Macaca mulatta: one gene and its partners. The protein of the gene in region 1 interacts with the protein of each later gene in a pairwise test. Links are inferred from orthologs where the notes say so. Each region holds a gene or a part of one and is shown in the gene's direction. Other genes may lie near its edges. The genes, in order: LITAF, HIP1, REEP6, BAG3, STAM2 and UBQLN1.

Region 1 (4,159 bases):
CTGCCCTGGAGCCTCGTTTCCCATTTCTCCCGAGACAGATTTGAATGGCTCTTCTAAGGCAGCCTGAACCCTGCCCAGTTAGAAAAACAGTCACACAAAGAACAGCACTGTGTCTGCCTCCAGCTGCCCCATGGCTGCTGGAGCACGGAACGTCAGACAGGAGCACACTCTGGGTGCAGGGTGTAATTCTAGGCGAGCAGCAGCTCTGCCAGGGCTGGAGGGAAATCCTTTTTTTGCCCTCACAAAAGAAAATGTGTGCCTGGCTGCTCTGGTGCTCATTTTTCAAAATGGGAACTGCAGTCTATGTGTATTTCCTTCTTAAAAAGCTATAACACACAGGCTGGGCAGAGTGGCTCACACCTTTAATCCCAACACATTGGGAGGCCAAGGCAGGAGGATCACTTGCGCCCAGGAGTTCAAGACCAGCCTAGACATTAAAGTGAGCCTCCCGTCTCTACAAAAAATAAAGACATTAGCTGAGCGCAGGGACGCATGCCTGTAGTCCGTGGGAGGCTGAGGCAGGAAGATCACCTGAGCCTGGGTGGTGGAGGCTGCAGTGAGCTGAGATCGCACCACTGCACTCTAGCCTGAGTGAGATCTTGTCTCAAAAAAAAAAAAAACAAAAAACTATAACACACATACTAAAAAGTATATACATTTTAATTGTACAACTCAGCTTTTTACAGACTGAACATATCGCTGTAACTAGCCCCCAGGTGAAGAACGAGAACAGGACCTGCCCCCTGCAAAGGCCCCCTCGTGCCCCTTTTCAGATTCTTCTTCCTCTCCCAACAGTACAAGAGTAACCGCCCCATGAATTCATTTTGCCTATTTCTGACCTTTATTTAAATAGTATCATGCAGTGTTCATTTTGTGGCATCTGGCCCCTTTGCTATTTGCGATGCGATAGTTTGTGGTTGGTTTTTGAATGCCTTTATCCTTTCCGTTACCTGAAACAGTTAGTGAAAACCACAGTGGTTTAAAAACCAAAAAAAAAAAAAAAAAAAAAGAAGAAGAAACATCAGCTATGGAAGATAGGTCATTGTCCGGTAATGGTTTAAGATATGGAGAAGAAGTAACTCGTATTTGGTTGATGTTTCCACTTGGGATTTTCCAGGTTTTGGTGATTTTTGGTAGAAATTATTTACTTTTTGATTTTTATTTAGGGAATCCATTAAGATAATAATTCTGGGGTCTTGAAGGGACATTAACCCTCTTCCTGGGTTTTGGACAAAGCTGGATTGAAGTCATTTTCTCAGAATTTCTGTTTGCCAGAAAGAAAATTGAAGACTTGGGTGAAAAAGAGAGAGGGAGAGATCAATTGAATTTCTTATCTGTTATGTTCTGTTTCTGTTTTAGGTAAAATGTCGGTTCCAGGACCTTACCAGGCGGCCACTGGGCCTTCCGCAGCGCCATCTGCACCTCCATCCTATGAAGAGACAGTGGCTGTTAACAGTTATTACCCCACGCCTCCAGCTCCCATGCCTGGGCCAACTACGGGGCTTGTGACAGGGCCTGATGGGAAGGGCATGAATCCTCCTTCGTATTTTACCCAGGCAGCGCCCATCCCCAATAACAATCCAAGTACGTGTGGCCTCCTAGGCCTCCCTTACCATTCCTTGACCCTCCACCCTGGGAGTCAGGAGAGTGGGAATCAGGAGAGTGACCGAAGTGACTCTGACAAAGAGTCTAAGTGAAGTGCCAGTATGTTCCAGTTTTACCCCCTTACCTTGAAATTCCACACACAGTCTTTTTTTTTTTTTTTTTTTTTTTTGAGACGGAGTCTCGCTCTGTCGCCCAGGCTGGAGTGCAGTGGCGCAATCTCCGCTCACTGCAAGCTCTGCCGCTTCCCGGGTTCACGCTGTTCTCCTGCCTCAGCCTCCTAGAAGCTGGGACTACAGGCACCCGCCATCACGCCCGGCTAATTTTTTTTGTATTTTTAGTAGAGACGGGGTTTCACCGTGTTCGCCAGGATGGTCTCAATTTCCTGACCTTGTGATCCGCCAGCCTCGGCCTCCCAAAGTGCTGGGATTACAGGCAGGAGCCACCGCGCCCGGCCACACACAGTCTTTTAGATTCCATGTTGGTGAGGCTCATGGCTTTTCTATAATGAAGTATGGTTTAGGATCTTCCCATGATCATCATATACGAATCATTTGGCATGTCTCACGGAGGCACAACCAACTTTCTTCTGAGAATGGGAGTTTGTGTCTTAAGGGCCCCCACCCTTCCTCCTAAGGTCTGATGCAGAACTTCTGCCCTGAGGCCAGGGCTGAGGTAGGAACAGGGAGAAGAAACTGTCCTGAGCAGTGTGTGATTGTGTTTTCATACCAGCTCACCCTCAACGCAAGTTGCTCTTCTGCTTTTGAGCAACCAGATGGTCCCTGGCCTTGGGTGCTTCCTTCTGCCCAAGTGTGCCCTGGTATGTCACTGCTTCAGTATTACAAGCAGTTCTGGAAGAAATCTTTAGCTCAGAGAGGGGACCCGTGAATCAGACCACCTGGGTTCACATAACCTCCTTGTGCCTCAGCTTCCCCATTTGTAAAACAGGTTTCATCCAGTACCTATTTACAAATATCAGTGGGTTGTTAACATGAAAGGAAGTTCTGTGTGCCAAATACAGAGTACTCATTCGATAAAAGTGAATTCTTATTGTTGTGTTCAAGTTATTTTGACCGCTTGAGCTGGATTCTTAGACCATCCTGTGATCCATAGTTTCTTTTTTTTTTTTTTTTTTTTTTTTTTTTGAGACAGTTTCTTACCATGTTGCCCAGGCTGGAGTGCAGTGGTGCAGTCATGGCTCGCTATAACCTGGGCCTCCTGGGCTCAAGTGATCCTCCCACCTCAGTCTCTGGAATAGCTGAGACTACAGGCATACACCACCACACCTGGCTAGTTTTTAAATTTTTGTAGAAATGGGATCTCACTGTGTTACCAGGCTGATCTTTAACTCCTGAGCTTAAACGATCTTCCCACCTCCCTTGGCCTCCCAAAGTGTCAGAATTATCAGCATGAGCCACAGAGCCTGGCCCAAATAACTTATTTTTGAACCCTAAAAACACTTAATAAAATGTATGAACTGGGTGTGGTGGCTTGTGCCTGTAATCCTAGCTACGGAGGCAGGAGGATCACCTGAGGCCAGGAGTTCCAGATCAGCCTGAGTGACATAGTGAGACATTGTCTCTATGAAAATAAAATTAGTCGAGTGTGATGGCTTGCACCTGTAGTCCCAGCTACTTGAGAGGCAGAGGTGGGAGGATTGCTTGAGCCCAGGAGGTTGATGTTCCAGTGAGCTATGATTATACCCCTGCACTCCAGCCTGGGCAACAGAACAAGACTCTGGCCCCTCCTCAAAAAAAAAATTTCACGTAAGTGCTCAAGTATGATTCAATACTACTTTTCTGGAAGGAGGGTCTTATCTGTGAGTATTACTAAGTTCAGTTAACTCTAGGTAGTAATATTCTCCTAATCCATTTGTTACATAAATGGCATTCTAACAACGTAAAAAGGAAGAGAAGGAAGTTGCTTTGACAAAAATATGAGCTTAACAACTGAAGTGCTTAATGATTGTCATCACCCTGGATTCTCTTTTTTTTTTTTGAGATAGAGTTTGTTCTGTTGCCCAAGCTGGAGTGCAGTGGTGTGATCTCAGCTCACTGCAACCTCTGTCTCCCGGGTTCAAATGATTCTCCTGCCTCAGCCTCCCAAGTAGCTGGGACTACAGGCGCGTGCCACCATGCCTGGCTAATTTTTGTCTTTTGAAACAGGGTTTCACCATGTTGGCCAGGCTGGTCTCCTGACCTCTGGTGATTCACCCGCCTCAGCCTCCGAAAGCCAAGGGATTTGCTGGGATTACAGGTGTGAGCCACTGCACCCGGAATGGATTCTCTTCTGATTCTTGTGAATGTTCAAACATGGTTTCACATAGCTTTTTCTTCCGAGCATTATTTCATATTTTCATTTCTTGTGTCAACACAGTTCACGAGCTTATTGTCTTATAGAGTAGACCTGCATTTCCTGGCTAGGTAAACTCTACCCTTATCATTGGGTGTCAGAGTTTATCAAAGGGTCTGGGTAAAAAGAGTGGATTGTTTATCAAGGGCTGCTAGTCACAGTGTGAGGCTGGTTAAGATTTATTTATTTATTTTTGAGACTGAAT
Region 2 (3,500 bases), on another chromosome or scaffold:
TGGGAGGCCGAGGCGGGTGGATCATGAGGTCAAGAGATCGAGACTCTCCTGGCCAACATGGTGAAACCCCGTCTCTACTAAAAATACACAAAAGTAGCCGGGCATGGTAGCGGGCGCCTGTAGTCTCAGCTACTTGGGAGGCTGAGGCAGGAGAATCACTTGAACCCAGGCGGCAGAGGTTGCAGTGAGCAGAGATCATGCCACTGCACTCCAGCCTGGTGACAGTAAGACTCCATCTAAAAAAAAAAAAAAAAATTAAGAAATTAGCTGGGCATGGTAATGCATGCCTGTAGTTCCAACTACTTGGGATGCCAATGCAGGAGGATTGCTTGAGCCCAGGAGTTTGACACTGTAGTGAGCTGTGATCGTGCCACTGCACTTCAGCCTGGGCAACAGAGCAAGACAAAAAAAAAAAAGTAAAAATTAGCCAGGTGTAGTAGCATCTATGCCTGCAATCCTAGCTACTTGGGAAGCTGAGGTGGGAAAATTGCTTGAGCCCAGTTTGAGATTGAGGCTGCAGTGAGCTATGATTGCCCCTCTGCACCCCAGCCTGGGCGATAGAGTGAGACCTGTCTCTATTAGAAAAAAAAAAAAAAAAAAGAGGCAGGCACAATGGTTCACACCTGTAATCCCAGCACTTTGGGAGGCTGAGGCGGGCAGATCACCTCAGGTCGGGAGTTCAAGACCAGCCTGACCAACATGGTGAAACCCCATCTTTACTAAAAATACAAGAAAATCAGCCGGGCATGGTGGCTCATGGCTGTAGTCCAGCTACTTGAGAGTCTGAGGCAGGAGAATTGCTTGAACCCAGGAGGCGGAGGTTGCATGAGCTGAGATCATGTCACTGTGCTCCATCCTGGACAACAGAGCGGGACTCCATCTCAAAAAAAAACAGAGAACACCACTGTGTTGGGGCAGGACCGACAGGCAGATTGGAGGCTTAGAGGTGGAGTTAGAGATATGGGACAGATCAAACCAAATGTCCTAGATTTAGAGGAGTGACTTTCACACTTTTCTGTGACCCCACATAAAAAACTACATCTATCTCATGGAAATACAAGTAAGTTTCACCAAGCAATACTTATCCTTACTACGTGAATTCATTTGGCTATTTTCTGTTCTATTTAATCCATTTTTTTAAATGTTAGCTGTGAATTCTTACTAAGGAGTCACAACCCACCCTTTGACAAACACCATCAAGAAATCAAAGAAAGAGAGTCATCTGGGAATGGCGAGGTGCTGTAGTTCAGCCATATACCAGCTGTTGGGATGCCTGAATTTAAGACCCAGTTTGCCTTTAGTATTATGGACTTAAGCATGACATTTGGGAAATGTTTCTAAAATTCCTTCCTGGAGGCCAGGCACAGTGGCTCACACTTGTAATCCAAGCACCTTGGGAAGCCAAGGCTGGAGGATCGCCTGAGGTCAGGGGTTCGAGACCAGCCTAGCCAACATGGTGAAACCCCGTCTCTACCAAAAATATAAAGATTAGCCAGGCAGGGTGGCGGGCGCCTGTAGTCCCAGCTACTCGGGAGTGTGAGGCATGGGAATTGCTTGAACCTGGGAGGTAAACGTTGCAGTGAGCCGAGATTGCACCACTGCACTCCAGCCTGGGCGACAAGAGTGAGACTCTGTCTCAAAAATAAATAAATAAATAAATAAATAAATAAATAAATAATAAAAATTCCTTCCTTGACATTCCACATTTTCAGTACACTCTGGGGTCTCGCCTCCTCCTCCCACACCCTGCACTTTTTTGGGTGGTGTAACTTACATACAGTAGAGTTTACAGATCTCTTATTGATCGCTTGGGACATGTTTACGTTTTTATATTCTTTGTCACTACCACCCAGATCAGAGTCCCTCTGTTTTTCTTCTCTTTCAGACTCAAGAACAGCTGGAAGTTCTAGAGAGCTTGAAGCAAGAACTCGCCACAAGCCAACGGGAGCTTCAGGTTCTCCAAGGCAGCCTGGAAACTTCTGCCCAGGTAAATACCGCCTTTCTCTTTTTTATTGAGATGGGGTCTTCTTCTGTCACCCAGGCTGGAATGCAGTAGTGTGATCTCAGCTCGCTGCAGCCTCCACCTCCCTGGGCTCAGGTGATTCTCCCCACTTAGCTCCCCCGAAGTAACTGAGACTACAGGCACAAGCCACTACGCCCAGATAATTTTTGTATTTCTTTGGTAAAAACAAGGTTTCACTATGTTGCCCAGGCTGGTCTCAAACTCCAGGGCTCAAGTGATCCTCTCACCTCGGCCTCCTAAAGTGCTGGGACTACAGGCATGAGCCTCCACGCCCGGCCTCCTTTCTTGCCCCACCCCTGGCTTTGGCATTGCTGTCATCCACCATCCTTAACCTGCCAAGTCGGCCCCAGCTATAATCAGTGCGAGAGGGAATCAGAGTGGCAGATTAAAGAGCTATCACTTTCCCAGTCCTTGTAGCCAGGTGATGGGTTGGACCTCTGAGAAATAGGGACTGTTTAACTCAACCAGTGTCTCCCTCTTTCCTTGTGGTCACCTTTGCAGTCAGAAGCAAACTGGGCAGCCCAGATCGCCGAGCTAGAGAAGGAGCGGGACAGCCTGGTGAGCGGCGCAGCTCATAGAGACGAGGAATTATCCGCTCTTCGGAGAGAACTGCAGGACACTCAGCTCAAACTGGCCAGCACAGAGGCAAGTCACAGACACAGACACAAGCAAGCGCCTGTGAACTCCCACTGAGGGCCTCTGCGCATGCACGGAGGCCAGGAGGACCCCAGGGCTGCTGAGAAGGAGTTTGGGGCCTTGGCCCAATTGTGCAGACATTCTGTAGGTGTGATGCCAGCAGGCCCTGCACTGCCTGCAGAGCGCATGAGGGAAAGCAGAGTGCTGTCTTTTTTGTATCAGAAGGGAAGTTTGGCATTCCCTCCCAGCCATGAGAACGGGGTGCAGTGATCCCTCCGCACAGCCTCCGTGGGCGGCCACACACCCCGTGCACACAGCTAAAGCGCCTTTCTCTGTCTCAGGCTTACTGGCTTGGACCTCATTGGCCATGACTTGAGCTGAGATGCTAGGAGCCCCAGCCAGGTCATGCTGCTCAGGTTCATGATGGAGTCTAGGGCAGACTCTCACCTCCCTGGACCGTTTTTAGGAATCTATGTGCCAGCTTGCCAAAGACCAACGAAAAATGCTTCTGGTGGGGTCCAGGAAGGCTGCGGAGCAGGTGATACAAGACGCCCTGAACCAGCTTGAAGAACCTCCTCTCATCAGCTGCGCTGGGTCTGCAGGTACACTTGCAACTGCCCGGCTGGCAGGGGCCAGGTGCTTACAGCCTGACCCTCTATTGATGGTGAATCTCATGTGAGACTTAGCTCAGGGGCTCTCAGCCCCACAGCATGTCAGCATTAGCTTACGGGTGCCCAGGCCCCATCCTAGATCAGTTACATTTGGAAACTCTGTGCATTAGAACCTGTACACTAGTATTTTCTTTTTTTTTTTTTTTTTTCTTTTTGAGATAGGGTCTTAC
Region 3 (4,298 bases), on another chromosome or scaffold:
AATGAATAAAAATAAACGCGCAGAAAGGAGTTCTCTCTGTTAACTTGTTATTACTTTTTTTTTGCAACAGAGTTTCGCTCTTGTTGCCCAGGCTGGAGTGCAATGGCATGTTCTCGGCTCATCACAACCTCTGCCTCCTGGGTTCAAGCAATTCTCCTGCCTCAACCTCCTGAGTACCTGGGATTACAGGCATGCGCCACCACTCCCGGCTAATTTTGTATTTTTAGTAGGGATGGGGTTTCTCCATGTTGGTCAGGTTGGTCTCGAAATCCTGACCTCAGGCGATCCACCCACCTCAACCTCCCAGAGTGCTGGGATTATAGGCATGAACCACTGTGCCCAGCCCTCTCTGTTAACTTGAAACCATAAGAGGCAGGGGCCATTACCATTCCCACTTACCAAGGGGGAAACTGAGGCTCCGTGCAGCCACAGCCTTGCTCAGTGCCGGCTGGTGAGTGCACAGCCAACCAAAGGGCTCTCCTCCACCCGGGGGACCGAGATGCTGGGGTTTGCTGCCTCCAAGACGGGGGGGGTAGTACTGCCCCCCACCCTGCCCCAGGGACACTGGGTGATGTCTAGGGATATCTGTGGTCGTCATGACTGGGGAGCTGATGGCATGGAGAGGGCAGAGGCCAGGGACGCTGCTCAGCACCCTGCAGTGTCCAGGACAGCCACCTCCCCTCCCCGCCGAAAACAACCAAGAATGACCCAGCCCCGAACATCAGCAGTGCCAAGGCAGAGAAACCCTGCACTAAGATAACGGATGAAACAGTTGCGTTTCTCAGCTCTGGAACCAAGTCTTCATGACAGCCTGGCCTCCCTTGCAGGCTTCACCCATCCCTTATATTGAAACATTAGCCTCGTTTCCCAGCGCCTCCCATAGGGCCTGGAACGAGATGCCTATCATTGCAGATTATGCTCATTCTTTTTTTTTTTTTTTTTTGAAAAAGAATCTCACCCAGGCTGGAGTGCACTGGCTCAAGCTCTGCTCACTGCAACCACCGCTTCCTGGGTTCAAGCGATTCTCCCGCCTCAGCCTCTCAAGTAGCTGGGATTACAGGCGCCCGCCACCAAGTCTGGCTAATTTTTGTGTTTTTAGTAGAGATGGGGTTTCACCATGTTGGCCAGGCTAGTCTCAAACCCCTGACCTCAGGTGGTCTGCCTGCCTGGTCCGCCCACCTCGGCCTCCCAAAGTGCTGGGATTACAGGCGTGAGCCACCACATCTGGCCAGATTACACTTACTCACTCAGCAAACACTTTATTGGATAGCTATTCTGCACCCACCCCCACTGCCCAGTGTCAAGCTCCTGCCTGCCCTTGGGGAGCTCTCAACCATGGTGGGGGACATGGACACATTGACCAGTTACAGGCACAAGGCTCAGGGCCTAGGGACACAATGGGGGGATGCACAGACACTTCGGGGGCAGTGGACACATCCTAGAGGCATCACCAAGGCTTCTGAGGAGGTTGCAGTCTCTGTCGACTGAAAGGAGGCCTGGGTGCTGTCATGGGGACTCAGCAGGTCCCTGGCCCTAGCACACCACCACTTCTCTCCCGCAGGAGCCGTCACTCTGCTAAGCCTGTATCTGCTGTTCGGATACGGAGCGTCTCTGCTGTGCAATCTCATCGGATTTGTTTACCCCGCATATGCCTCGTGAGTGCACGGCTGGCTGCCCACGTGGGGGGATCTGGGGGCTCCCGGGCAGCCCCTGACCCTGCTGCGCCTCCCTGCAGAATCAAAGCTATCGAGAGCCCAAGCAAGGACGACGACACTGTGTGGCTCACCTACTGGGTGGTGTACGCCCTGTTCGGGCTGGCCGAGTTCTTCAGCGATCTACTCCTGTCCTGGTTCCCTTTCTACTACGTGGGCAAGGTGGGCCCTGCCAGGGCGGGTACAGCCATGGAGCGCATGGGGCTTGGGGATTCCTGGGAGGTATTGGGGCCAGGAGGTCCGGAGGAAAGAATACCAGGAGATGGGAGATGGGAGGGGAAGACTCAGTCCTTTCCCTGGGGAAACGGGCCCTGTCCGGGGGCTGATGGTGGAGGGCCCACCTTGAAGGGTGTCTGATGGTGGAGACCCAAGCCTGCTCCAATAGGATGTCTGATGGTGGAGGACTCACCCTAAAGGATGTCTGATGGTGGAGGGTTCACCCTACAGGATGTCTGATGGTGGAGGGCCCACCCTAAAGGATGTCTGATGGTGGAGGGCCCACCCTAAAGGATGTCTAATGGTGGAGGGCCCACCCTACAGGATGTCTGATGGTGGAGGGCCCACCCTAAAGGATGTCTGATGGTGGAGGGCCCACCCTGAAGGGTGTCTGATGGTGGAGGCCCAAGCCTGCTCCGATAGGATGTCTGATGGTGGAGGGTTCACCCTAAGGGATGTCTGATGGTGGAGGGTCCACCCTACAGGATGTCTGATGGTAGAGGGCTCACCCTAAAGGGTGTCTGATGGCGAAAACCCAGGCCCATCCCAATAGGATGTCTGATGGTGGAGGGCCCCCCCAAAGGGTGTCTGATGGTGGAGACCCGGTTCCTGTCCAGGGTGGGCATGTGGTGGGGTAGTGCAGCCTCTCTCCCCTCCAGGGGCACAGAGCTGGGTGGGGCTGTGTGTAACTCCTGCCCTGCCCTGCAGTGCGCCTTCCTGTTGTTCTGCATGGCCCCCAGGCCCTGGAACGGGGCTCTCATGCTGTATCAGCGCGTCGTGCGCCCGCTGTTCCTAAGGCACCACGGGGCCGTGGACAGAATCGTCAACAACCTCAGCGGGCGAGCCCTGGACGCGGCGGCCGGAATAACCAGGAACGGTGGGTGCTTGCAGGCGCCCGGCTGCCTCTGACCGTCTCCTGGGTCTCCACCTGTCTCCACCTTGCCTCCCTTTCTGACTTTGACTGCCCACTGTCTGGCATCTTGGCCGCCCCCTCTCACTGTCCGCCTCTCTCTCTCACGCTTCCGGGAACCAGTCTTGCAGGCGCTGGCCCGTAGCCGGGCAGGCGTCACTCCAGCGGCTGTGGCCGGGCCCTCCACTCCCCTGGAAGCTGACAGTACGTAACCCGTGGGGGAGGTAGGAGCTGTGTGTGTGTGTGCGCATGTGTTTGAGTGTATGTTTGCTGTTGCACATGTGTTATTGTGCGTGCATGTTTTGTCATGTGCATGACGGTGTGTGTGTGCATGGCTCAAGCGTATGTTTGGTGTTTCCATGTGTGTATAAGTGAGCAAGGGAGCATGGTTTCTCACGTGTGCATGTGTGTGTGACCACGTGTACAGGTGTATGTGCACGTGTGTGTGCATGCATGTGTGTGTGCGTGTGACCACGTGTGCATGTATGTGTGTGAGCGTGTGTGTGACTGCACATGTGCGTGCTCTGTGTGCACCCCTCTATGTATAGGTGACCATGAAAGCGTGCGTGTGGTCGACACCATCTCTGCTGAGGGTGGCTGCCCGGCCCCTCGACTTTCCATGCTCACATCCAGTAGCCTCAGTCCCACCTGTGAGCAGTCAGCGGAGCCCAGGCCTGCCTCACCGCCCTCCCCCGCCTGCCCCTCTCTCTGCAGTCAAGCCAAGCCAGACCCTGCAGCCGAAGGACAAGTGAAGCAGCCCCCCGGGCCTCGCAAGGACCTCCCGGCTGGTGAGGAGGGGGCCGCACCGGGCTCCCAGGCCTCCACATCGTCTTCAGCGCATCTCTCGACGGCAGCCCACGCCAGTCCCTCGGGTCCAGGCAAGGCCCTGGGGGTCTCCTTAAATGCCACCTCGGGCAAGTCCCAGTCCCAGTCCTCGGCCACCCCCAGCTCTGAATCCCAGGGCCAGCTGCCCTCCAGCTCTGGCCGTGGCAAGGCCCAGGGCCAGCGTCGGGCACGGGTCAGCTCCCAGCGGTCTCAGCAATGCACCCAGCTGCCTGGTACTTCCTCCGGCCCCTCCCAGTCAGCCCTCCCATCCTCGAGGCCCCTGCAGCCACCCAACGTCACCTCCAGCCCGGTCTCACCCATGGTCCAGTCTCCCAGCAGCAGCAACGTCCCCACGCAGCCTCCCAGCAAGCCCCCTGGCGAGCCAGAGGACACAGCCCCCAAGACCAGCGGACAGCGCCAGAAGCAATCCTCGAAACAGCTTGCCAGCAGCACCTCAGTGCCCGAGCTGGTCCCCTGCCACTCCGGGACCTCTCTGGAGTACACTTCGGAGTCCACCACTGAGATCACCTGCAGCTGGCCACACCACAGGCCCCCGTGCCTGCAGCACTACTGGTGCCTGAAACACCTGGCCTGCTAGGAGGCTCCAATAAAGCTAACCCGGACCAGACCTGCGC
Region 4 (3,500 bases), on another chromosome or scaffold:
AATGAGGACAACACATCCCCTGTATGAGCGCTTCCTGTGTGCTGGCCTGGGGCTGAGGCACATGCCCAGGTGACTGACGTCATCTTCAGAGCAGCCCGGTGAGGGAGGGGGTGCTCTTCCTATATTTTGTTTTTTTGTTTGTTTGTTTTTGTTTTGAGACGGAGTCTCGCTCTGTTGCCCAGGCTGGAGTGCAGTGGCACGATCTCGACTCACTGCAAATTCCATCTCCCAGGTTCAGCCATTCTCCTGCCTCAGCCTCCCAAGTAGCTGGGACGACAGACGTGCACTACCACCCCCGGCTAATTTTTTGTATTTTTAGTAGAGATGAGATTTCACTGTGTTAGGCAGGATGGTCTTTATCTCCTGACCTTGTGATCCTCCCACCTCGGCCTCCCAAAGTGCTGGGATTACAGGCGTGAGCCACTGCGCCCAGCCCACTCTTCCTATATTTTGAATGAAGCTTAGAAAATGATTGAATTACTAGGAATTTGAACCTAGGCCCCTTGACTCCAAAGCCTTCAGTCTTTGTTTTGTGTGTGTGGTTTTTTTTTTTTTGAAATGGAGTCTCTCTGTCGCCCAGACTGGAGTGCAGTGGTGCGATCTCAGCTCACTGCAACCTCTGCCTCCTGGGTTCAAGCAATTCTCCTGCCTCAGCCTCCTGAGTAGCTGGGACTACAGGTGCCCACCACCACGCCCGGCTAATTTTTGTATTTTTAGTAGAGATGGGGTTTCACCATGTTGACCAGGCTGGTCTTGAACTCCTGATCTCGGTTGTCTGCTCACCTAGGCCTCCCAAAGTGCTGGGATTACAGGCGCGAGCCATCGCGCCCAGCCCCAAAGCTCCCAGTCTTAACCCCACACTTTGAAAATTGAAAATTACAGATAGGAGGTCTTACGATATGGATTGCCCTGAGGAGGTGCACAGCAGAAGGCATGGTCAGGATGCCACGGCAGGGGGTTCATTCGTGGGGTCATGCCCTCTACCCTGTGTCTCTTGCAGCGGTCCCAGTCTCCAGCTGCCTCCGACTGCTCATCCTCATCCTCTTCGGCTAGCCTGCCTTCCTCCGGCAGGAGCAGCCTGGGCAGTCACCAGCTCCCACGGGGGTACATCTCCATTCCGGTGATACACGAGCAGAACGTTACCCGGCCAGCAGCCCAGCCCTCCTTCCACCAAGCCCAGAAGACGCACTACCCAGCGCAGCAGGGGGAGTACCAGACCCACCAGCCTGTATACCACAAGATCCAAGGGGATGACTGGGAGCCCCGGCCCCTGCGGGCAGCTTCCCCATTCAGGTCACCTGTCCAGAGTGCATCGAGCCGGGAGGGCTCACCAGCCAGGAGCAGCACGCCACTCCACTCCCCCTCGCCCATCCGTGTGCACACCGTGGTCGACAGGCCTCAGGTACGGGAAGTTAGTCGTCAGCAGACTGGTTATGGTGGTATGTCTCCAGGGCTACAGGAGCTCTGTGGGGTGCCCTGGGTTCCCCCTTTATCCCTGCCTATTTAACATGTGTGTACCTGGAGGGAAGTGAGATTTGAGAAACTGCTAGGTATTAACAGAAATTCAGGACAATTGCTCAGGCCCTCCGCACTCTGCAGCTTATGCTGGGCTGATCATTGTGCATTGCGGCTGACTTAGGGCAGAAGAAACAGCTTGGAAGAACTTACATAGCTGGGACCAGGTTCCTTAGTGCCCACCACACCCTTTCAGGGCTCTTCACACCCCCATCCACACTGCAGCCACAGCCTCATCTTGGGCGTAGGCAGCGCGTCACCTTCCGCTCAGTTACCCACTCCACTCTGCAGGCCCATTCTGCTCATTCCCACCCCTGTGCCTTTGCCCATGCTGAACCCGCTCCCTGAAATGCCTGCACAGTACAGGTTCTCTCCGTCCTCCGAGGGATGAGCCAGTTTTGTCTCCTCCATGAAGCCTACTCATCCTTCTCATCTCATGACTCCTCATATGAGTCCCTTAATGAGAGACTCCCAACTTGTATGAGTTCAACATGTGATTATTCTGGGTATTTCAGAAGTGTTCATTTTATCTCTTTAGCTTAGGGCTGAGCCTGACCACAGGGCCCATGTCTTAACGCCCCTCCTCCCTGTGTAATCAGGTACCATGTGGTCTGGCTGAGGCATCCGCCAGCTATGGTGGATTGGAAGCCGTGCTGGCCTGGGGAAGGTTGTAGGCAGGGGTCTGGTTATCTTCCAGTGGAGACACGAGGTGCAGGTTCCTGGAAGAGGATGTCATTTAGTGTGAGCAGCTTGCAGCCTAGCAGCAGAACAGTCAGCAGCCCTGGGCCCCCTGTGGCTGCAACTCCAGCAGCTGAATGCTACAGTTTTTAAAGAGGAAAACTCCTTGTGAACAAACATGGGTTATTCTTTTATTACAAATGGTCACACTGGCCAGGGCGCTGGAATAGAGCACCCTCCTCTTAAAAATTTTTTTTATTTGGAAATAATTTCAACCTGATAGAAGAGTTGTGTGAATCATACAGAGTCCCACATACACTTCATCCAGTTCACTGTTTGTCAACATGTCTGCATTCGTCTTGTCATTTCTTCTCTCTCTCGTATTAGTGATGTGTTTTAACTGTTTGAAAATTATTTGTAGATGTAATGTCCCTTTTCCCCTGAATAGCAAATATTTTCCTAAGAGGAAGACATTCTCATTCATAACCGTGGCAGACTTACAAGATTCAGGAAATTTAACATTCTTACAACATTATTATCCAGTGCACAGCCCATTTTCTAATCTTTTTTATAGCAGTTTGTCCCCACTTCCAGGATGTCTTCCAGGATTGAAACAAGGATCATGAGCACTGCATTTAGACGCAACTTCTCTTTAGTCTTCCCTCAGTCTGGGACAGTTCCTCGGCCTTTCTTGACTTTCACAGCCTTGATGTTTTTGAAAAGCACAGGCCGTGGAACACCCTCTCTAAAGTGTTTCTAAAGTCACTTCTTACACAGCCGTCTTGTTGTCAGAACCTGGGAGGGGTGCGTGGTTGGGTTGTGAGTGGTAAGGGCCAAAGCTGAGGATGTCTGGATTGGCGAAAGAGATTTGATGGAAAAGGAGGTTGCTGGGGTGTAGACAGCTACGTCTCACACCAGATCCATACTCGGATTCAGCAATCCTAGGAGGGGCCCATTTGTAGAGAGAGGGATATTTTATCCAAATCATTCCCATGTATTTCTCATAATCAGTGAAACACTATCTCATCCTGTTTTTACCCCCATTAACCATGTTTGTGGTAACTTCCCTTTTAGAGCTGATGCAAAGTTCCCTTTCGGGAGGCTTTCCAGGATTTCACCTCACTGAACATTATAGTGGAATTGAGTGTTGTAAACTGGGAATAGTTTAGAAATAATATAGTCTAGTTATTTCCCAGTTGATGAAATTAGGGTGAGATTTTAAAAAAGGTTTTAGATATTCACTTACATGAATAAGAGCCAAGATAAGGCCAAGCGCAGTGGCTCACACCTGTAATCCTAGCACTTTG
Region 5 (3,500 bases), on another chromosome or scaffold:
GTACTTTTGGGACATAAAAGTTAAAAAAGCCCAGTTGCTGGATTTATGGGATTAACTTCATCCTGAAGGAACAAATGAAAAAGAGTTCAACTGAAAATCTGCTTTAGTCACACACGTGATGAAAGCCTTGACACAATAGGGATACATGATAACAATGTTTAGGTGAGTTATTTAAGGAATTCCTGTAGGAGTTCTATATGTATGGGAACTTTTAAATAATGAAGTAGATAACACAATAGATAATATAACAAAAAAGTCTTTGAGTCATATACATATAAATATAATAGGCTAACAAATGAAAAAAGTGAATATAAAAAGTGCTTTTGGGGAGGTGTGGCAATTAGCTGAACTATATGTTAGAAATTTAGAAGAGTGATGAAAGCATTTGTTTTAACATGAAAACTTTTCATAGTACATTCACATGTTTATACTTTACATATCATGTTAGATTTTTTTCAGAATAAGATTTTGCTGTCTGAAAGCTAAATCTGTCTTGAAGAAATGGAAAGATCTGGTATACGTCTCTTGTTTGTTGACAGACTGTGAAGTGGTTTGTCTCTTGATTTTGGAATACACAACATTTGCAACATACTTTTTTTTAAAAGTTCTATGAGCCTATAAACAAAATATTGTGTACAATCATTTTATAGATTTATTCCTTTAATAACATGAAATTTCCAGGATTTTAGTTTAATTTATTTTTATTTTATACTTACTTTATTTTATTTTGAGTCAGAGTCTCTCTCTGTCATCCAGGCTGGAGTACGGTGGCATGACACAGCTCACTGCAGCCTCCTGGGCTCAAACAATCCGCTTGCCTCAGCCTCCTGAGTAGCTAGGAGTACAGACACACGCCACCATGCCCAGCTAATTTTAAAATTTTTTATAGAGATGAGTTCTTACTTTGTTGTCCAGGCTGGTCTCAAATTCCTGGGCTCAAGTGATCCTCCTGCCTTGGCTTCCCAAAGTGTTGGAATTACAGGCCTGAGCCGTTAAATATAAAAGTATTTGGTTATAGAATAATACCTTAATGTTTGAATTACATTTATCAATAAATACTTAACTGTCTGTCTCTTTTTTTTTTTTTTTTAGAGCGAAAGATTGCCTAAAAGCCATAATGAAAAGGGTAAATCATAAGGTTCCACATGTTGCTCTTCAGGCACTAACCGTGAGTACAAGTCGTGTTATTATTTGACGCAAATTTTAAATGTTTTTAATTACAGTAAGTTAATATTTTAACATTTGTATATTAATTTTTATTTCAATTAATAGCTTCTTGGGGCTTGTGTGGCAAACTGTGGAAAGATATTTCATTTAGAAGTATGTTCCCGTGATTTTGCAACAGAAGTACGTGCTGTGATTAAAAATAAGGTAAATTTTAAAAACAGAAGAAATTTAAGTCATTAAAAAATACATAGATTGTGTGTTGTTATAACTATATGTGGTATTACTAAAGTGTTATAAATGAAGTCATTTTTAGATACATTGAAATGAAATAAACTGTTCTGATATTTGATTTTTTAATTTGTAGCACCAAAAACTCTTCTCCCCAAAGTATATATACTGTAGATAATAGCAAATCCTTTTTGAGGGCCAGTAAGTAGTCATTGCTTTAAGCATTTTACATATACTGTCTTGTTGAATGCTCTTAACTACCCTTGGAGCATTAGATTCTTGGAAATTAGATTCACTTATCATTCTTATTTTATAAATGCAAAAACTGAGACTTAGAAGTAACTTGTCCAAGGTCATGCAGCTAGTAAGTGGAAGAGCCAAGATTTACATCCAAGTTTCTCTGGTTCCATTCTCCAAAACATGGAGGAAATAATCTCTGAATATAAAAGATTTGTTGTCATTATAATAAGACTTAGGAATTGGTGTTAAAAACAGTCATTTTGTATGAAATAGCATGTAAATAGGCATCTATCAATTACTCAACTAGGCTAGAAATTGCTGGACTTTTGTAGATGTTCATATAATTACAGAGAATTTTGATGGTAGTTCTCCTTGTTAAATAATTTAAGTACTTATTTTAACCATAGATTTGTGTTCATTTCCCTTTCCTTTTCCTTAAAAGGCACATCCTAAAGTATGTGAAAAACTGAAATCTTTAATGGTGGAGTGGTCAGAAGAATTTCAGAAGGACCCTCAGTTTAGTCTAATATCTGCAACTATTAAATCTATGAAAGAGGAAGGAATTACTTTTCCTCCAGCAGGTTCTCAGGTGAGAGATTCATTCAGACCCATGGTTGACCCTGTAATAGTTTGAAGGTATGTATATTATGTAAAGACTAGGCAAGGTATGTCTAGATTATCATTTTCCACCTCTACTTCCCAAATGACTCTCTAGCATAGTGCCTTCCTTACATTTAGTAGACATATTAGTTTTTGTGTATTTCTTCCACATATCAGAACCTTGAGAAGTTAATCAGACAAAAATAGTATATTTAATGTTTCTCTAAGTCTGCAGTCATGAAAAAGGCATAGTTGTATGACATAGCCCTTATAGTCAAGAAATTTGTAGCAAATTTGAACGATAGCTTTATACATGTGAAAAATAACTAATTTAGATTGTAAGTGACAAACATAGGATGAGGGGAATAGACTGTATGCTATCTGTCTCAATACTAAAGAGAGAAAGAAGTGACTACCGATTGGAATGGTGAAGAAGGTAAAGAGTTAGAATTTTGAAACTTGAATGTATTACTATTTTGTTAGAAGTGAAGAAGTCACACCAGGAGATAAGTGAAATCAACAAATTCATGGAATTGAGAGGCTCAAGACTTGTTTGTTGAAGAGTGAAAATGCCTAGAGTGAATGCTTTACATATAAGATAGATGGAAATGTAAGACTAGAAATTTATTTGCTGGGAGAGGGGATAGCTTTAGTAGAACCGGGGTGTGGAGGCAGGGATGTTGACTCATGGAGTGGGCTGTTTTTTTGTTTTTTTAGATCTAGGGGAGGAAAATACTATTCCTTGGGTTTTGCTCTCGGTACCTTATTCCCTGCCATTAATATTAGGATATGGGCTAGGGAAAGAGACTATGAGAAGTACTATATTTTTTCTTTTAGATCATAGATTAAGGAGAAAAAAAGATGCTTTTTTTTTTGGAGGCGGAGTTTCGCTCTTGTTGTCCAGGCCGGAGTGCAGTGGCGCAACCTCGGCTCACTGCAATCTCTGTCTCCTGGGTTCAAGCAATTTTCCTGCCTCTGCCTCTAGAATAGCTGGGATTACAGGTGCCTCCTACCACCAGGCCCGGCTAATTTTTTGTATTTTTAGTAGAGATGGGGTTTCACCATGTTGGCCAGGCTGGTCTCGAACTTCTGGCCTCAGGTGATCCACCTGCCTCGACCTCCCAAAGTGCTGGGATTACAGGCATGAGCCACACCAACTGAAAAAAGATTATAACTGACCAGACCTAAGAGTACAAGGTAGAGTTTTGAGACAAAAGTCTTGTAAATAATAAAAAGGAAACATTTTCCTGTTCTGTCCTTTCTGC
Region 6 (3,500 bases), on another chromosome or scaffold:
CACCTCCAGCCTGGGTGACAGAGCAAGACTCTGTCTTTAAAAAAAAAAAAAAAAAGGTAATAATTATTAATCATATTGATTGACTTTCTTTTGGTGAACTCTCACTTTTTATTGTTTTCAAGAATTTCAGGGGCCTTAGTAAAACTGGCTCATAACCCTCAAAAACTAGAAGGGGATAGATAAAAAAGTTGTGGGTTTTTTTGTTTGTTTGTTTTTAAAGAGTCTCACTCTGTCGCCCAGGTTGGAGTGCAGTGGTACAATCTTGGCTCACTACAACCTCCACCTCCTAGGTTCAAGCAATCCTCCTTCCTCAGCCTCCTGAGTAGCTGGGATTACAGGCATGCACCACCACTCCTGGCTAATTTTTGTATTTTTAGTAGATACAGGGTTTTACCATGTTGGCCAGACTGGTCTTGAACTCCTGACCTCAGGCGATCCACCTGCCTCGGCCTCCCAAAGTGCTGGGATTACAGGCGTGAGCCACCACACCTGGCCAAGATAAAGAAGTTTTTTATATAGTCAAACTTTGTGGGTGTAACTGGTTACTGACTTCCCTCTTATGAAATAATCTATCTCCCTCTGTTACATAAGCAATATGATTAAAACTAATGAAATATTTATGTACGTTATACTCAGAGAGGAGGGGCAATTGCAGCATATTTTGTATTTTGCAGGATTTTATTTTATTTTGTACTTTTTGTTCCTAACGCTTAGTTTTCTCAGGCTTTTTATTAAATGATAATTTGATTTCATCTGAGAGTTTACTCTTTATTTCTAGATGTCAGGATTTCAGTGGTTCTTTCAAAAATAATCAGCTCTACTGCTTACTCTGTGATTAATTATTTTCCCTAGGCCTCAGGATCATTCAGCTCAGCAAACAAATACCGCTGGAAGCAATGTTACCACATCATCAACTCCTAATAGTAACTCCACATCTGGTTCTGCTACTAGCAACCCTTTTGGTTTAGGTAAGTGTCTTTAGTCATCTCCATAGGGATGGGAAAAAATACTCCTTTCCCTTCCTGGGTAGCTTCAGATAAAATGAGAAAAGAAAACGTTATGTCACTTTAACAACAAAAATTAAAAAAAAAACTTATATATTCCTATAATTGTAGATATTAAGGAAATAGGTAGGGATATGGATATTCTTACATATCAGTTGGTGCCTTTCTTTTTAGTAATGAAAGAGATGTAGTGTGTGTGTACCTGATCTGACTACCACATAATTTAGTATGAGTAAGATTAGCTGGTTATTTATTTATTTATTTTTTTGAGACGGAATCTCGCTCTGTTAGCTGGTTATTAATCATAAGCCAGCGTCCCTGGATCATAATTTTTTCATCAGTAAAAGGAAAGAATCAGACTGCATTAGTTATTTTGTAACTGTCCTGAACACATGGAAAGGGGTCTGGGAAGCCAGCCTAGCCTAAAACTGCTTTTGCTTTTATTATATTAGTTTTGTTTTATTTTTTAAGAGAGGCAGGATCTTGCTCAGTCACTGAGGCTAGAGTGCAGTGGTGCCATCATAGCTCACTGCAGCTGCAGACTCCTGGCTTACGGCGTCCTGCCTTGGCGTCCCAAAATGCTGGGGTTACAGATGTGAACCACTGTGCCTGGCCTGTATTAGATTTATATATTGAGGTTCTGTGGAAGATTTTTTTTTTTTTTTTTTTTTTTGAGACAGAGTCTTGCTCTGTTGCCCAGGCTGGAGTGCAGTGGCGTGATCTGGGCTCACTGCAACCTCCACCTCCCGGGTTCAAGCGATTCTCCTGCCTCAGCCTCCTGAGTAGCTGGGATTACAGGAGTGTGCCACCACGCCCGGCTAATTTGTTTGCATTTTTAGTAGAGATAGGGTTTCACTGTGTTAGCCCAGATGGTGTAGATCTCGTGACCTTGTGATCCCCCGAAGTGCTGTTATCCATTATCTTTTGATAATAGATAGCCAAACTCAGTGGCTTATTACAACAAAGCTTCATTTCTTGCTACATTTTTCTGCATGCTACTTGCTTTTTACCGGTTTGTAAGGTGCCCGTCCATATAGTCCCTCAGAGACTCAAGGTAATGAAAGTCGTTTTTCATTCTGCTGTATTATAGCTCTACCGTTTGGAACATGGCAGAAGAGACAGCTAAAGGGTTTTAAGTTGAACCTGCTATACTTTGACCAGAAGTGGCACATACCATTTCTTGTAGTCCTTTGGCATTTCACATAGGCCTGTCCAAGTGCAAAAGAAATAATAAGGCTGCAAAAATGAAATGTTTGGTGAGCACTGCAATCTGCTACTGTAGTTAGTCATACTGAAGTTTTTGTGGTTTCAAGAATGCATTAATACATTTATCTCTGTGCTTTTTGTATATGGTGTTCATTGTGCCTAGTATTCAGTCCCCCTCCTAACCTTCTTTACGTTTCCTTGCAAAGTATTTATGCTCCAGACTCATTAAGTGTTGTCTCTTCTTCTGAAAGTAGGCATTCCACTTAGGTTATATTACCATAATATCCTGTGAATATTCTTTACTGAAGTACTTAACATCTGTGTAGCCATTTATTTTCTTGTCTGTCTTTCCCACTAGATTGAGTTCTGAGAATGTCTTTCTCTTTGCCTTATTCTCAATACATGTGTAGCACAGTCTCTGGCATATATAAAAAGTGCTTAGTAAGTGAGGAATGAATGCATTTGGTTGGTTATGTAATTTTACAAAGTAAACACTTTGTGATTACCAAAGTAAGCATTTGGTCATCCTGTTGCTCTGTTAGGTTTCTCCTTGGTTTAAGTCCTCCAAAGAGAAATCTATTTCCAAGTGTTCCCTGGCTTTCTGTATCCTTGATTGGCAGTATCAGCCCTCTTGTACCCAGAGTTTATAGGTGAATTCTGCTTCCTGTTAATAGAACTTAAACTAGTCTTTTGGAAAGATTATTAGAACTATAGTCTGGTGTGTGTATTTATTATTTCTTCCTTTAGCTGGCATATTCTGGAGTGTTTTTTTCTGACACCAGCCAGTTGTCCAACACCAGCTCTGTGTCCAAGATTCAGTTTCTTTTCTGATACTGCCTACCTACAGTTAGTATCCGATCTCACAAGTTAGCAGACTTAGTCCTACAAGACTGCCCCTACTTCAGATACTGGTCACAAGTTCTAGGCCACCTGTACTTCTGACTGACCAGTTCTAAATTGGGGGTTCCCCTGACCTCCTCCTCAGGTTCAATAATTGCTAGAATGGCACCTGGAACTCAAGAAAACACTTATACGTTTACCTGTTTATTATAAAGGATACAACTCAGAAACAGACAAATCTTGACAGAGAATTATAAGGGCACAAGGTATGTGGGGCATGGAAGTTCAGCTCAAAGGTTCCAGGTCCCCTCAGCGCACAACTCTCCTAACACTCAGATATGCTTTTCATGTTGAGTTTTCTTAATCTTATTGTTCAAGAATTTGCATAGAGCTCTATCTCCAGCTCCCTTCCCTCACTTTCTTGGTGGGTGGGGCTGAAAGCTTCAGCCC

Evidence for each region.
Region 2: the proteins of LITAF (region 1) and HIP1 interact in binary tests that used the Homo sapiens proteins (3 or more experiments, as listed by UniProt). The link is inferred for Macaca mulatta from reciprocal best matches to the Homo sapiens genes LITAF and HIP1.
Region 3: the proteins of LITAF (region 1) and REEP6 interact in binary tests that used the Homo sapiens proteins (3 or more experiments, as listed by UniProt). The two-hybrid records come from large-scale screens. The link is inferred for Macaca mulatta from reciprocal best matches to the Homo sapiens genes LITAF and REEP6.
Region 4: the proteins of LITAF (region 1) and BAG3 interact in binary tests that used the Homo sapiens proteins (3 or more experiments, as listed by UniProt). The two-hybrid records come from large-scale screens. The link is inferred for Macaca mulatta from reciprocal best matches to the Homo sapiens genes LITAF and BAG3.
Region 5: the proteins of LITAF (region 1) and STAM2 interact in a two-hybrid assay, tested with the Homo sapiens proteins (4 studies listed by BioGRID and IntAct). The two-hybrid records come from large-scale screens. The link is inferred for Macaca mulatta from reciprocal best matches to the Homo sapiens genes LITAF and STAM2.
Region 6: the proteins of LITAF (region 1) and UBQLN1 interact in binary tests that used the Homo sapiens proteins (3 or more experiments, as listed by UniProt). The two-hybrid records come from large-scale screens. The link is inferred for Macaca mulatta from reciprocal best matches to the Homo sapiens genes LITAF and UBQLN1.

What each region holds. Positions count from the first base shown.
Region 1 is NC_133425.1:12,701,297-12,705,455, reverse strand, and holds the start of LITAF (lipopolysaccharide-induced tumor necrosis factor-alpha factor), read left to right. Parts: upstream 1-1,359; 5' UTR 1,360-1,364; coding exon 1,365-1,584; intron 1,585-4,159.
Region 2 is NC_133408.1:50,694,224-50,697,723, forward strand, and holds part of HIP1 (huntingtin-interacting protein 1), read left to right. Parts: intron 1-418; exon of another isoform or gene 419-1,407; intron 1,408-1,885; coding exon 1,886-1,987; intron 1,988-2,524; coding exon 2,525-2,668; intron 2,669-3,125; coding exon 3,126-3,261; intron 3,262-3,500. UniProt on the Homo sapiens protein: Plays a role in clathrin-mediated endocytosis and trafficking. Involved in regulating AMPA receptor trafficking in the central nervous system in an NMDA-dependent manner. Regulates presynaptic nerve terminal activity.
Region 3 is NC_133424.1:2,181,405-2,185,702, forward strand, and holds the end of REEP6 (receptor expression-enhancing protein 6), read left to right. Parts: intron 1-1,561; coding exon 1,562-1,655; intron 1,656-1,735; coding exon 1,736-1,874; intron 1,875-2,636; coding exon 2,637-2,805; intron 2,806-2,961; coding exon of another isoform or gene 2,962-3,042; intron 3,043-3,552; coding exon 3,553-3,590; 3' UTR 3,591-3,798; downstream 3,799-4,298. UniProt on the Homo sapiens protein: Required for correct function and survival of retinal photoreceptors. Required for retinal development.
Region 4 is NC_133414.1:131,769,942-131,773,441, forward strand, and holds part of BAG3 (BAG family molecular chaperone regulator 3), read left to right. Parts: intron 1-1,000; coding exon 1,001-1,402; intron 1,403-3,500. UniProt on the Homo sapiens protein: Co-chaperone and adapter protein that connects different classes of molecular chaperones including heat shock proteins 70 (HSP70s), e.g. HSPA1A/HSP70 or HSPA8/HSC70, and small heat shock proteins (sHSPs), e.g. HSPB8.
Region 5 is NC_133417.1:57,077,680-57,081,179, reverse strand, and holds part of STAM2 (signal transducing adapter molecule 2), read left to right. Parts: intron 1-1,092; coding exon 1,093-1,168; intron 1,169-1,272; coding exon 1,273-1,371; intron 1,372-2,077; coding exon 2,078-2,224; intron 2,225-3,500.
Region 6 is NC_133420.1:114,608,009-114,611,508, reverse strand, and holds part of UBQLN1 (ubiquilin-1), read left to right. Parts: intron 1-852; coding exon 853-968; intron 969-3,500. UniProt on the Homo sapiens protein: Plays an important role in the regulation of different protein degradation mechanisms and pathways including ubiquitin-proteasome system (UPS), autophagy and endoplasmic reticulum-associated protein degradation (ERAD) pathway.